Linked DNA regions of Canis lupus familiaris. The protein of the gene in region 1 purifies or fractionates together with the protein of each later gene. This does not show direct contact. Links are inferred from orthologs where the notes say so. Each region holds a gene or a part of one and is shown in the gene's direction. Other genes may lie near its edges.

Evidence for each region.
Region 2: the proteins of PIN1 (region 1) and POLR2D purify together in Homo sapiens (co-immunoprecipitation; 3 studies listed by BioGRID and IntAct, with this or other methods). This does not show direct contact. The link is inferred for Canis lupus familiaris from reciprocal best matches to the Homo sapiens genes PIN1 and POLR2D.
Region 3: the proteins of PIN1 (region 1) and RAF1 purify together in Homo sapiens (co-immunoprecipitation; 3 studies listed by BioGRID and IntAct, with this or other methods). This does not show direct contact. The link is inferred for Canis lupus familiaris from reciprocal best matches to the Homo sapiens genes PIN1 and RAF1.

The regions. Positions count from the first base shown.
Region 1 is NC_049241.1:51,560,295-51,564,445, reverse strand, and holds the start of PIN1 (peptidyl-prolyl cis-trans isomerase NIMA-interacting 1), read left to right. Parts: upstream 1-1,274; 5' UTR 1,275-1,422; coding exon 1,423-1,480; intron 1,481-3,483; coding exon 3,484-3,696; intron 3,697-4,151. UniProt on the Homo sapiens protein: Peptidyl-prolyl cis/trans isomerase (PPIase) that binds to and isomerizes specific phosphorylated Ser/Thr-Pro (pSer/Thr-Pro) motifs.
Region 2 is NC_049240.1:24,124,381-24,128,028, forward strand, and holds the end of POLR2D (DNA-directed RNA polymerase II subunit RPB4), read left to right. Parts: intron 1-598; coding exon 599-694; intron 695-1,843; coding exon 1,844-1,922; 3' UTR 1,923-3,377; downstream 3,378-3,648. UniProt on the Homo sapiens protein: Core component of RNA polymerase II (Pol II), a DNA-dependent RNA polymerase which synthesizes mRNA precursors and many functional non-coding RNAs using the four ribonucleoside triphosphates as substrates.
Region 3 is NC_049241.1:6,018,735-6,022,382, forward strand, and holds part of RAF1 (RAF proto-oncogene serine/threonine-protein kinase), read left to right. Parts: intron 1-2,736; coding exon 2,737-2,849; intron 2,850-3,648. UniProt on the Homo sapiens protein: Serine/threonine-protein kinase that acts as a regulatory link between the membrane-associated Ras GTPases and the MAPK/ERK cascade, and this critical regulatory link functions as a switch determining cell fate decisions including proliferation, differentiation, apoptosis, survival and oncogenic transformation.

The DNA.
Region 1 (4,151 bases):
AACATATTTTTGCTATGAGGCAGACGCTGTTTGGAGAGCATTCTACAGATTAACTCAATTTTTGCATCAAAGGTATGTATGAGATATATATATTTCTTATTCTCATTTGCAGATGGAGAAGCTGAAAAGCTGAAACACAGAGATTAGTTTCTTCAAAGTCATAGCCAGGCTTTGAACACAAGCGATCTGGCTCTTGAATGCTCTTAACCTACTATATCCTATTTCTTGTAGACATGTTTTCCCATGTTTTATATGACTGTGCCTCATTTTTTTTTTTTTAAGATTTTATTTATTCACGAGAGACACACACAGAGAGAGGCAGAGACAGGAAGAGGGAGAAGCAGGCTCCATGCATGGAGCCCGATGTGGTACTCGATTCCGGGACTCCAGGATCACGCCCTGAGCTGAAGGCAGGTGCTACGCCACTGAGCCACCCAGGGATCCCCGCCTCATTCTTTTTCAATGGTCACATAGGGGTCTAGTTCTAGATGAACTATCATTGAACTCTTCCTTGTTGGTGTCTTTGCCTCTCGTATCTATCTCCAGCCTGTCCCCAGGCACCTCCCCAGAGTCCCACAGGTGCCGCAGACTCAATTTTAAGACGATTCAAACTGAGCTCATCATCCTCCTACAGACGCATCCTCCTGTGTCGCCAGCTAAGTGGCCATGCCAACACCCACCAGTCACCCAGGACAGAGGCAGGAGCCAGACCGAGAGAATAAGTTAAGTAGGTTCCAAAGGAAGTAGAAGATGTTTGGTCAGTGGCACAGGGAAAGGGTTAGTCTCGCAAAAGAAAAAAAAAAAGTGGGGGGACAGCTTTGGACATCTGGAGGAAACAGGTGGGGAGAAGGAGGATGGAGGAGCCAAATTTAGGCTTCTTCGCTGCTCATCACCAAGGCAACTGCGTTGCTACGGCAACAGCTAAGGCAGCACCGCCTCTTTCAAGTACCTCGTGGGCTGCCGTCACCTCGAAACCACCCGGACACTTCCGCATAAGGGGGCGCGGGCCTCCGGGAACGGCTGAGGAAGGCGGGAACTACTGCCGCAGTAGCCAATCGGATGGGGCCTGCGGCGAAGGACGCAAAGGAGGTGCCCGGACTTCTGTGAAGCTCGCCGGAGGCTGTGGAGAAGGACGGGCTCCAGCCCCTTCCCTACCAGTCAGCGGCCGAGGGAGGAAGGGGGCGGGATCCGGGGGAGGCCGTACGGGGGCGGGACCCGGTAGAACGCACGGAGGGTCCGCCCAGTCTCGCCGCTACCCAATAGAAAGCCCGAAGGCCTCTCCGGACTGCTCGGGCGCCCAATGAGCATCGTCGCCGGGCCCCGGGGCGAGGCGGGCCGAGCCAATCGGCGGCGGCGGTGGGCGGGTGCGGGCGGCATAGGCGGTGCGGCGGAGGCGGAGCGGGCGCTGCGGCAGGAGGGAAGATGGCGGACGAGGAGAAGCTGCCGCCCGGCTGGGAGAAGCGCATGAGCCGCAGCTCAGGTGCCGCGGGGGTCGGGGCTGGGGCGGGGCCGCGCGGGCCCGCGGAAGCAGGGCTCGAGCTCGCCCCTGGGGCGCGGCGCCGCCGCCCGATTCCCGTGGGGTCTTGGCTCCTCCGCGTCTTCCCAGGGTAACGGCCCGGGCCCGCCCCGTGGGGGCTGCGAACCTCAGGAGCGGGGATGCCGGAGGAAACTGAGGCAAGGGGCGGGGCCGGAGAGACCCAGCGCGCTGCCGGGGGTGGGGGGGGCGGGGGCGGGGGGCCGGGGATCCCGCAGCACTCCCCCAGGTGATGGCCCTGGCCCTGCCGATCCGGCTGACACCTTTTGGCCTATTGCACCCGACGTCCCCGGGGACCGTGTCTGCACCCTGCTGGGCCCGGGGGGCACCCCGGGGAAGGACACCCCAACCCCACGCTCAGGGCGTGGCCTCAGAGCGTTGCCGGGCCTCGGGCCCACAACCTGCCCCTGCTAACCCGCCGGCCATCCCCGCCTAACCCGAGTCTGTCGTCGCCGCCCGGTGGATGGACCCTGTGCCGGGAGCCCGATCTGAGGCTTATCCACAGTAATAATACCCGTAACCGCACGCTCATCTTACCGCCCAGCCCTGTGCCAAGTGTGTTTGGAGTGTGTTCTCCCTCTCTCTCTCTGAATGACCACAACTCTGGGAGGTGGATAGTTATCACCCCGTTTTGCAGGTGAGGAAGCAGAAGTCAGAAAACTTAAGGAGCTCCCCCAAGGTCATTCATTTCAGGGGGTGGGGGCTGGATTAGAGTCCGGTCAGTCTGACAGCAGAGCCCGCCTGCCCTTGTCACTGCAGACCAGTGAGGAGCAGGCCCAGCATCTCACCGCACTGCCTCCCCAGCCCATAAAAATCACAGTCACAGTGATATCTGCTCATTGAAGGCCAGGCCCTCTGGTGAGCACTTTGCACGGATCATCACTGTTCTCCACATTAGCCCCGTGAAGTTATGTCCTTAATCTCTCGCTTCACCCCCACTTTTCAGATGAGAAAACCAAGGTTCATGGAGAGAGAGGCCATTGCAAGGTTTTAGGGTCGGTCACTGGCTCAGCTCTCACTGAGCCCGCTCCAGCCCTGCTCCGTGGCCACAGCTGACAGCATGAATCCTGATGCTCTGCCCTGTTCTGGGCCCCCTCTCTGGCCATTTCTGCTCGGCTCCACCCTAATGGTCTTCCTCAGGGGTGACCTTCAGTTCTTCACGGTGCTGGGTGCCAGTCGTGCAAAAATCTCAGCCCCTGGAATGATGCCTGGGCTCTCCTGGGTTCTACCTCAATCTTCTCTCTTGTGGCCTTCCCTCCTTCCTGCTCCTTGGGCCCTGGGTAACGTTTGACCCCCCTGTACTGCTGGTCCATAGTTGTGCAGCGCTGTACACTGGGTGCGGGTTAAGAACAGAGCTTTCATGTTTGGCAACCTGGGTTTAATTCCTGCCTCCAGCCATGTGTGCCTGGGGCCAAGTGTACACTCAGGAAACATTCCAAAGGTGTGGAAGGTGAGGCCTCACTTCTGTCGTCTACAGGGAGATGATAGCTGTCACGCTCCTAATGTGTACTGGGCACTAGTCTAAGTGTGTTACCGCTGTGAGCTCACTCAGTCCTTAGCACAACCCTACAGGCAGGGACTGTTGTTATCTGCATTTTACAGGTGACAAAATCAAGGCCCAGAGAGGTTAGCTCACACAGTGAGTGACAGCCAGACTTGAACAGGCAGCCTGGCTGCCTGTCCCCACACCGGCTTCGTCTCTCCTGTCACTCTGGGTGGTTTTCCTCCTTGAAGTCACTAATAACTGAAGTTATGACATTGTCTTATTTGCTTGTCTGGGGCCTGCCCATCCCCATCTAGAATGCTGGCTCCCTCGGGGCCTGTAGCTCGAGGTGGACTCAGGGGATTTGTTGAATGAAGGAATCCCATTGGCCGGTCCGTCATCTTGGCCTCCGGGTGGTGTCCTTTGAGCAGGTCCCAGCTGAATTCCTGTATCCCCCCTCCTCCAGGCCGGGTATACTACTTCAATCACATTACTAATGCCAGCCAGTGGGAGCGGCCGAGTGGCAACAGCAGCAGTGGCAGCAAAAATGGACAAGGGGAGCCCACCAGGGTCCGCTGCTCGCACCTGCTTGTCAAGCACAGCCAGTCCCGGCGGCCCTCATCCTGGCGACAGGAGAAGATCACCAGGACCAAGGAGGAGGCCCTGGAGCTGATTAATGGTGAGCAGAGTTGGAAGCAGGTTGGAGTGGGGGGAATGTGGGGAGAGGTTGTCCCCTCATTGGGAGCTGGAGCCAGCCTCGTAGAAATCACACCAGGCCCTGCACCCCAGCTAACTCAGCTGTCAGCATTGGCTGCCACCGAACTGCCTGTACGTGACGTGAGCCTGGACTGCACAGCTGCCTCTCCTTTTTCTTTCTATTTGGCATTTGAGGGTGAGCCAGGTTACGAGAGGAGGACCCAGCCTTGGGGGCTGGCAGCCCTGGGTTCAGATGGTGGCTATGCCCTGTAAGCTCCAGGGGGAGCTTGTGTCATCTTGAGACTCAGTTTTCCCCTCTGTAAAATGGGTGTTGTCACATACCTGCCCATACCTGGTGTGTAGGTGCCAAGAAAACTATGAAATCAGCAGCATTTAGCTCACTAGGGCCATAAGTTGCAGAACCCTGGTATGGAGCTG
Region 2 (3,648 bases), on another chromosome or scaffold:
AGTTTATAAGATTTTATTTATTTATTTGACAGGGAGAGAAAACACAAGCAGGGGGAGTAACAGGCAGAGGGAGAAGGAGAAGCAGGAGTCCCACTGAGCAGGGGAGCCTAATGTGGGGCTCCATCCAGGACTCTGGGATCATGATCTGAGCTGAAGGCAGACGCTTAATCAACTTTTAGATAAGTTTAAGAGAATTTCCTTCCAAGTCAAAATACACAAACATCATGTATTTGTAATAAAATTAATGTTGAAAGAAGCAAGGTACAGTGATAAAAGCAGAGAACAGCAAAATAAATTCTTGGGGAAGGTTGTACAGTCCGTAAATTACATAGTAATTTTTCAAAAGTTAAAATAGGGGGTTCTCAGGCCTGATGTGCTCTGATTGCTTTTGTGTCTGCCTGATTTCATTGTAACTTTGTGTTCTCCAAGAATAGGAACAGGAAGTGAATTTAAAGTAGATTTTGCAGCCAAGCTTAACCATGTAGAAATAATTGGAAGTGCTTTACTTTTTTTTCATACTTGTTAACTACTTTTCATTCTCTTTTCCTACTCATCATTCTTTGATTTTGTTTGTTTTGATTTTCTTCACCATGATCAGCTTGTTGCTCCAGAAGAAGCTTCATAAGTTTGAGTTGGCCTGTTTGGCCAACCTTTGCCCAGAGACTGCTGAGGAGTCAAAGGCACTGATACCAAGGTAAGCACCGCTGTGCTGAGTTCTGTGTATAAAATTCCTACAAGTAGAATCACTTTGTCTAAAAAGTATGTATTTTTGAAATCGGGACAGATAGCACCAACAGGGTGTGAATATGATTTGTAGCCATGCCAGCTGTTAGCAAAAATGTGGACCAGCTGAATCTCTCACATTGGTGGTAGGAGTGCAAATTATATCTTTTTTATTATTATTTTTATTTATTTTATGATAGTCACACAGAGAGAGAGAGAGAGAGGCAGAGACACAGGCAGAGGGAGAAGCAGGCTCCATGCACCGGGAGCCCGACGTGGGATTCGATCCCGGGTCTCCAGGATCGCACCCTGGGCCAAAGGCAGGCGCTAAACCGCTGTGCCACCCAGGGATCCTAGGAGTGCAAATTAGTACAGTCACTTTGGAGAGCAGTTTGGCTACATCTAGTAAAGTTAAAGATGATTATACCCTGTTATCTAAAAATCCATTCCTGGGTACATGCCTAAAAGCAGCTCATACCATTCTACAAGGAAGCATGTATTCTAATGTTCATTACTGCAGTGTTAGTGATAACAGAAGCTTGACAGTCAGTAAACGAGAGGATGGATAAATCATTTATGTAGCAGTGCAAAAATTAATGAACTGGAACAATATGGAGTATAACTAATACCAGAATCAATTCGGAGTGAAAAAATTTGCAGGATAAATGTATTACAATGTCATTTCTTAAAAGTTTGAAAACAGTGCTGCATATGGCTTGTAGATACCTTTATATATGTATATAATAATAAGTTTAAAAATATGTATAGGAATGATAAATACAAATGCAGGATAATGGTTATTAATTCTGGGGAAGGTATTGCAATGGGGGGAGCATACACAGAGCCATTAATTTATTCCTGTTGTGTTTATTAAAGAAATCTAAATCAAGTAGGGGTAGCTGTTAGGGTTAACATATTTTTATACTTTCTTAAATCTTTGAAACACTTCATATGTGTTTAAAAGGAATGGCAGAAATAAAGCTGAAGGTAGAGGTGTCAGTGTTTAGAGGTAAATGGAGAAGTGTATAAGTGGTGCTCAAAGATGAGCATGTGTTCAAAAGAGTGTAGGGAACATTGTCAATTCCTGAGATACTCATTTCTTTTGGTTTTCTTCTTGTAGCTTGGAGGGGCGGTTTGAAGATGAGGAGCTACAGCAGATTCTTGATGATATCCAGACCAAGCGCAGCTTTCAATATTAGTCTCCAAATATTGCTCCACTGCTGAGGGAACTGTGTCCCAAGCCCATCACCACTGACCAGGTGTCTGGAGCTGACTTACACGGAAATACTATTGCAGAAGACAGTTGGGCTTCCTTTGGCTAGAACAAGTTAGCTTGGTCTCAGTTTAGGTTGCTGTTTTAGACTTAACTCCGAGACCATGGTAACCTGGCCTTCCCTCTTGGAGGGGGAGGCGTGAGGGGTGATGCGCATATAAGCTACACTAGTGACTACCTTCTACCACAGTTTTGGTACCTGTGTTATTTTTAAATTGTTTTTGTTTTAAGATTGTGTTTGGCTTTGTTTTTTTTGTCTGTTTTGTTTTGTTTTGAGTAGTCTCTCCCCCCAGTGTGGGGCTTGATCTCATTACCCCCAAGGTCAAGAGTTGCAGGCTCCACTGACTGAGCCATTCAAGCACCCCTTTTTTTTTAAGATTTTAATTTTTTAGCCCCTGTGTTAATTTGATTCCTAAGATCTCATGTTTTAATTTCAGCGTATTTGTAGTTTTTGAAACTACAGGAAACGACAGTCTTATCTCAATGCAAAAGGAAGAATTAAGGGGCCCTTGGCTGATTCAGTTGGTAGAGCATGTGACTCTTGATCTCAGGGTGGTGAGTTCAAGCCCCATATTGGGCTTGGTGCCTACTTTAAAGAAACAAGGAAGGAACCCCAAATATAAACACAAAAGGAAGAATTAAATCAGACGTGTACCATCATCTGAAATTCTTACAGAAAGGATGATGGTGTTAATGACTGAGACAGCATTGGCATCATTGTATTTAACCCAGAAGTCAAGGAAGAAGCTCACCAGGGAAAGTAGTTATACCTGAAGATAACTGCCAAACATGGGGGGCTCGTAGCCTTGGGGTTGATCAGTAATGGGGCTTTTTTCTTGAGTGTTGAAGGATGTAGATTTGGAGGCAGTGGTCCTAAACCACTATTTTCTCACTCCCAGGTTAAGATTTTTTTTTTTTCCTTCATGGGCCAGACTTGAGGGTCTGAACATTTTGAAGACTCCTTGTATGGGGCGTCCAGTCCAAACTCTGTCATGCAACTCAGCAGCAGGTGATATCTGATGGGGTGATTGGGAAGGAGGGAGCCTGCCCCTTCCTGAGCCACTACAGTGAAGTCACTCGATGTAAAGCTAGTTGTTGGAAACTCTTTGATAAATACTCTAAGGATCCCTGGGTGGCTCAGCGGTTTGGTGCCCGCCTTTGGCCTAGGGTGTGATCCTGGAGACCCGGGATCAGGTCCCACATGGGGCTCCCTGTGTGGAGCCTGCTTCTCCCTCTGCCTGTGTCTCTGCCTCTCTCTCTTTCTCTCTCTGTGACTATCATAAATAAATAAAAATTAAAAAAAATTAAAATGTGGATAATAAATGTATCTATTCTGTAGATATTTTCAGAAGATTACTAAAGAGAGCCTATTAGTGTCTGACATGTATTATTCTCCTTTTTCTTTTCTTTTTTTTTTTTTTTTTTTTTTTTTTATTCTCCGTTTTCTTTAAATCAAAATTTGAGGGCCGCCTGGGAGGCTCAGTCAGCTAAATATCTGCCTTCAGCTCAGGTCATGATTTCAGGGTACTGCTCAGCGAGGAGTCTGCTTCTCCCTCTCCTGCCCCTTCACTCGTTTTCTCTGTTAAATAAATAAAATCCTTAGGCGGGGAAAACCTTCTTCAGAAAGCAAAATTAACTGGAAGAAACTTCTC
Region 3 (3,648 bases), about 46 Mb from region 1:
ATGGACCATTGCTCTCTGGAAGAACCATATTCTTTCAGCAGGCATCCATCTTTAGGGAAGCATAGGAGGTAGGAGTCCCTTGCTGGCCAGCAGGTTGAGTTAGTATTTTCTAATCATCCTTAGGTTGCTTCACTGCTTGGAACCCAGAATGACTCATAATCACTTAGTGGGTTCCAGAAATTAGTCAGATTTAACTGAATTCAACATGTGTCCACGGAGAGTTGTAGAGAGGAAAGTGACCAAAAGGATATGTATATTATTTAAATAGTTGTAGATGTATAATTGGTAGTTGATTGAAAAACCTTGTCATTTATTTTGTACATATGTGTACAAATATGTACACTGCCTACTTATTGGGTGGGTGCTTAGACCACAGCTGAGGACCATTAATGACCATTAGAATCAGGGGATCCCTGGGTGGCGCAGCGGTTTGGCGCCTGCCTTTGGCCCAGGGCGCGATCCTGGAGACCCGGGATCGAATCCCACGTCGGGCTCCCGGTGCATGGAGCCTGCTTCTCCCTCTGCCTGTGTCTCTGCCTCTCTCTCTCTCTCTCTCTCTCACTCTCTGACTATCATAAATAAATAAAAATTAAAAAAAATGACCATTAGAATCACCTGACACAGGTTAAAATATAGATTCTTGGGCTTCATTCAAAATCAGGTGAAGCAGAATCCTTGGATGTATTGGAGTGGGGAGGCTGGGAATCTATATTTTCATAAGCTCCTTGGATGATTCTAATGCCAGCCACATTTGTGAACCCCACTGAATTAGAGGATATTTATTTAAAGAACTGTCTAACTCTTAGAGTCTGTGACTTTTTTTTTTTTTGGTACAGATTTTATGTATTTATTCATGAGACACACAGTGAGGGGCAGAAACACAGGCAGAGGGAGAAGTAGGCTCCTCGCAGGGAGCCTGATTTGGGACTCCGTCCCTGGAGTGGGATCACGCTGTGAGCCAAAGGCAGACACTCAACCACTTGAGCCATCTGGGCGTCCTTAGAGTCTGTGACTTTTAATGAAGATTAATGGTATAACACAGCACTATAGTTTTCAAGGCCCTGTTGCACAGTATTTGATGCAAGTAATGATTTGGTTAGTGTGTATGTATTCCTTTTCATTGTCCTCATTCTTGATGTCTTGTCTTCATAGTTCAGATTCATATATCTCACTTAGTTTTGTTTCTGAAAAGCAAGAAGTTAATGGATCTGAGAGTATAACTGCTTCAAGAAATCTAAAATAAAGTTGCCATGGAACATTTTAAATACTTCAGACTTTTAAAATGGATCCAAACATACACTCACCTCCTCTGGATTGGCCACTGTCAGCTGTCACACTTTCACTGAGCACAGGAACTCTACTGTGGGCAATTCACAAGCCCTGCAAATCTATATTCTGTTCTCCTACTGGCCGTACTGACTCTAGTTGCCTCACTTTTAATTAACTTTATTGCCTTTGAAAACAAAATGTATGAGGGGCTCCTGGGTGGTTGAGTTGGTTGAGAGGCCAACTCTTGATTTTGGCTCAGGTCAAAATGATGTTGATGTTGTGGGATCGAGTCCTGTGTTGGGCTCTGTGCAAGGTGTGGAGCCTGCTTGGGATTTTCTTTCTCCCTCTTCCTTTTCCCCTCCGTTTCCACCCCCCCCCCCTTTTGCGTGCTCTCTCTCTCTCTCTCCAAAAAATAAAAGAAAAACAAAATGAATGGGGCTTTTATAAAAACTTTTAAAGTCTTAGTCGAAATTTTATATAGCTGCTATTATTAGCACCCTGACTACTCACACTTACACTGGGTCTCTGAGTACCTGCCTAGCTTTTGAAGATTGGGTATGGAAGAGTGTGGAAGGACATACACTGAGGCTACCTGGAATGGTGTGCACATTTATTTAAATTAGTAGTGTTTGTTTTTGTAGCAGGGCAGAAGCTCTGTTTCCTCTCCTTGCTTGCCCTTACAGTTGTGAAGTGTGTATGAAATGGAATTTTTGTCAGGAAGATAAATCATCTTGTTTCAAACAGGTTGAAATACAAGTTTTCGTCAGAAAAACTCTTGTTTGCTTATAGATTAGATTGGTTTATTTTCCTTTCTGGTGGATGTTCATGCTTGCATGTACATTTCAGCAAGTTTTTTTTTTTTTTAAAGAGATTTTATTTATTTATTTATTAATGAGAGACACAGAGAGGCAGAAACATAGGCAGAGGGAGAAGCAGGCTCCCCTCAGGGAGCCCGATGTGGGACTTGATCTGAGCTGAAAGCAGAGCTTAATTGCTGAGCCATCCAGGTGTCCCTCAGCAAATTAAAATAGAGTTGTGTGAAGGGAAGTTTGATCATTTTATCTCTCTCAGCCACTCTCTTGATGTTAATAGCTAGAGATATATCTTTTCAGACTCATACAACATATATAAATATATATAGGTTTCCTGCCCTTTGAATAATCTCTTTGTATTATTCTGAAAAATATTTTCTCATAATTAACATATGGGCACCCCTCCCTCTAGGTCATTGTAAATAATATAGTAGTGACATACACACATATTCTAGGCTTTATCCAAGCCTATTGGACATTAGGCTTTTACCTATTATTGGACATTCCAGCTATTTTCTGTGTGCATTTATATTTACCATTACAAATAATGCTGTCATAAATCTGCATATATCTTTATAGACTGGTACATTTATTTCTTTGCTCACCAAGGGATGTGCAGCTGTTGTTGGTTCTAAAGATGGTCTTTTGTTTGTAGGTCAATGTGCGAAATGGAATGAGTTTGCATGATTGCCTTATGAAAGCACTCAAGGTGAGAGGCCTGCAGCCAGAGTGCTGTGCTGTGTTCAGACTTCTCCATGAACATAAAGGGTAAGAAATTAAAAGTCAACTCTTTTTTCATACAAGTAAGGAAGCTGATGACTTCAAATAATAATAGTTCTTTTTTTAAAAAGTATACTAGTTTCCTATAGAATATTATGTATTTATATTCCCTTGTGCATAGACAACTCAGAAAATTAAAATATTAAGAACTTGAAATTATTGTTTAAACATTGCATTGAGAAAAAGAATACATATTAGGTGTTGATAATATTCCATAAATGGAAGCAGTAGTGTCAGGTAATGTTTTCTTTAGAGTAAAAAATTTTTCTGTTTCCTGGAATGCAGTGGACAGAATGGGTACTCAGAAAGTGTTTGCATTATTATTTATAGTTAAAGAATCTTATCCTCAAGAGAGTAATAACTCTTATATAATTCATTTATTTAAAAGTTTTTACCTAAGTTATCTCTCCATTCATTGTGGGGCCTTGATCTCAGGACCTTGAGATCAAGAGTTGCATGCTTTTCTGACTGAGCCAGCCAGGTGCACCTCATTCATTCATTTATTTATTATATGGTTAATGCTTACTGAGTCCCTGCAATTTGGCAGACATAGGACTAAAAGATGCAGGAGAATTTCTGCTTCAAGGAAGATCCATAGTTAATCTTAGTTCTAATGGTGGTGGCAAGATAGAAGCATCCCATCAAAGGCTAGGAGCAATATTCCATAGCTTCTATTATCCATTATTATCCCCCTGAATTTGGGGGGAGTAATCTCTTGGAAAATGCTAGTTTCTTCTTTCTTCTTGGAAAATGCTAGTTCTGCTACTGATCTCCAGCTTGCATTTTT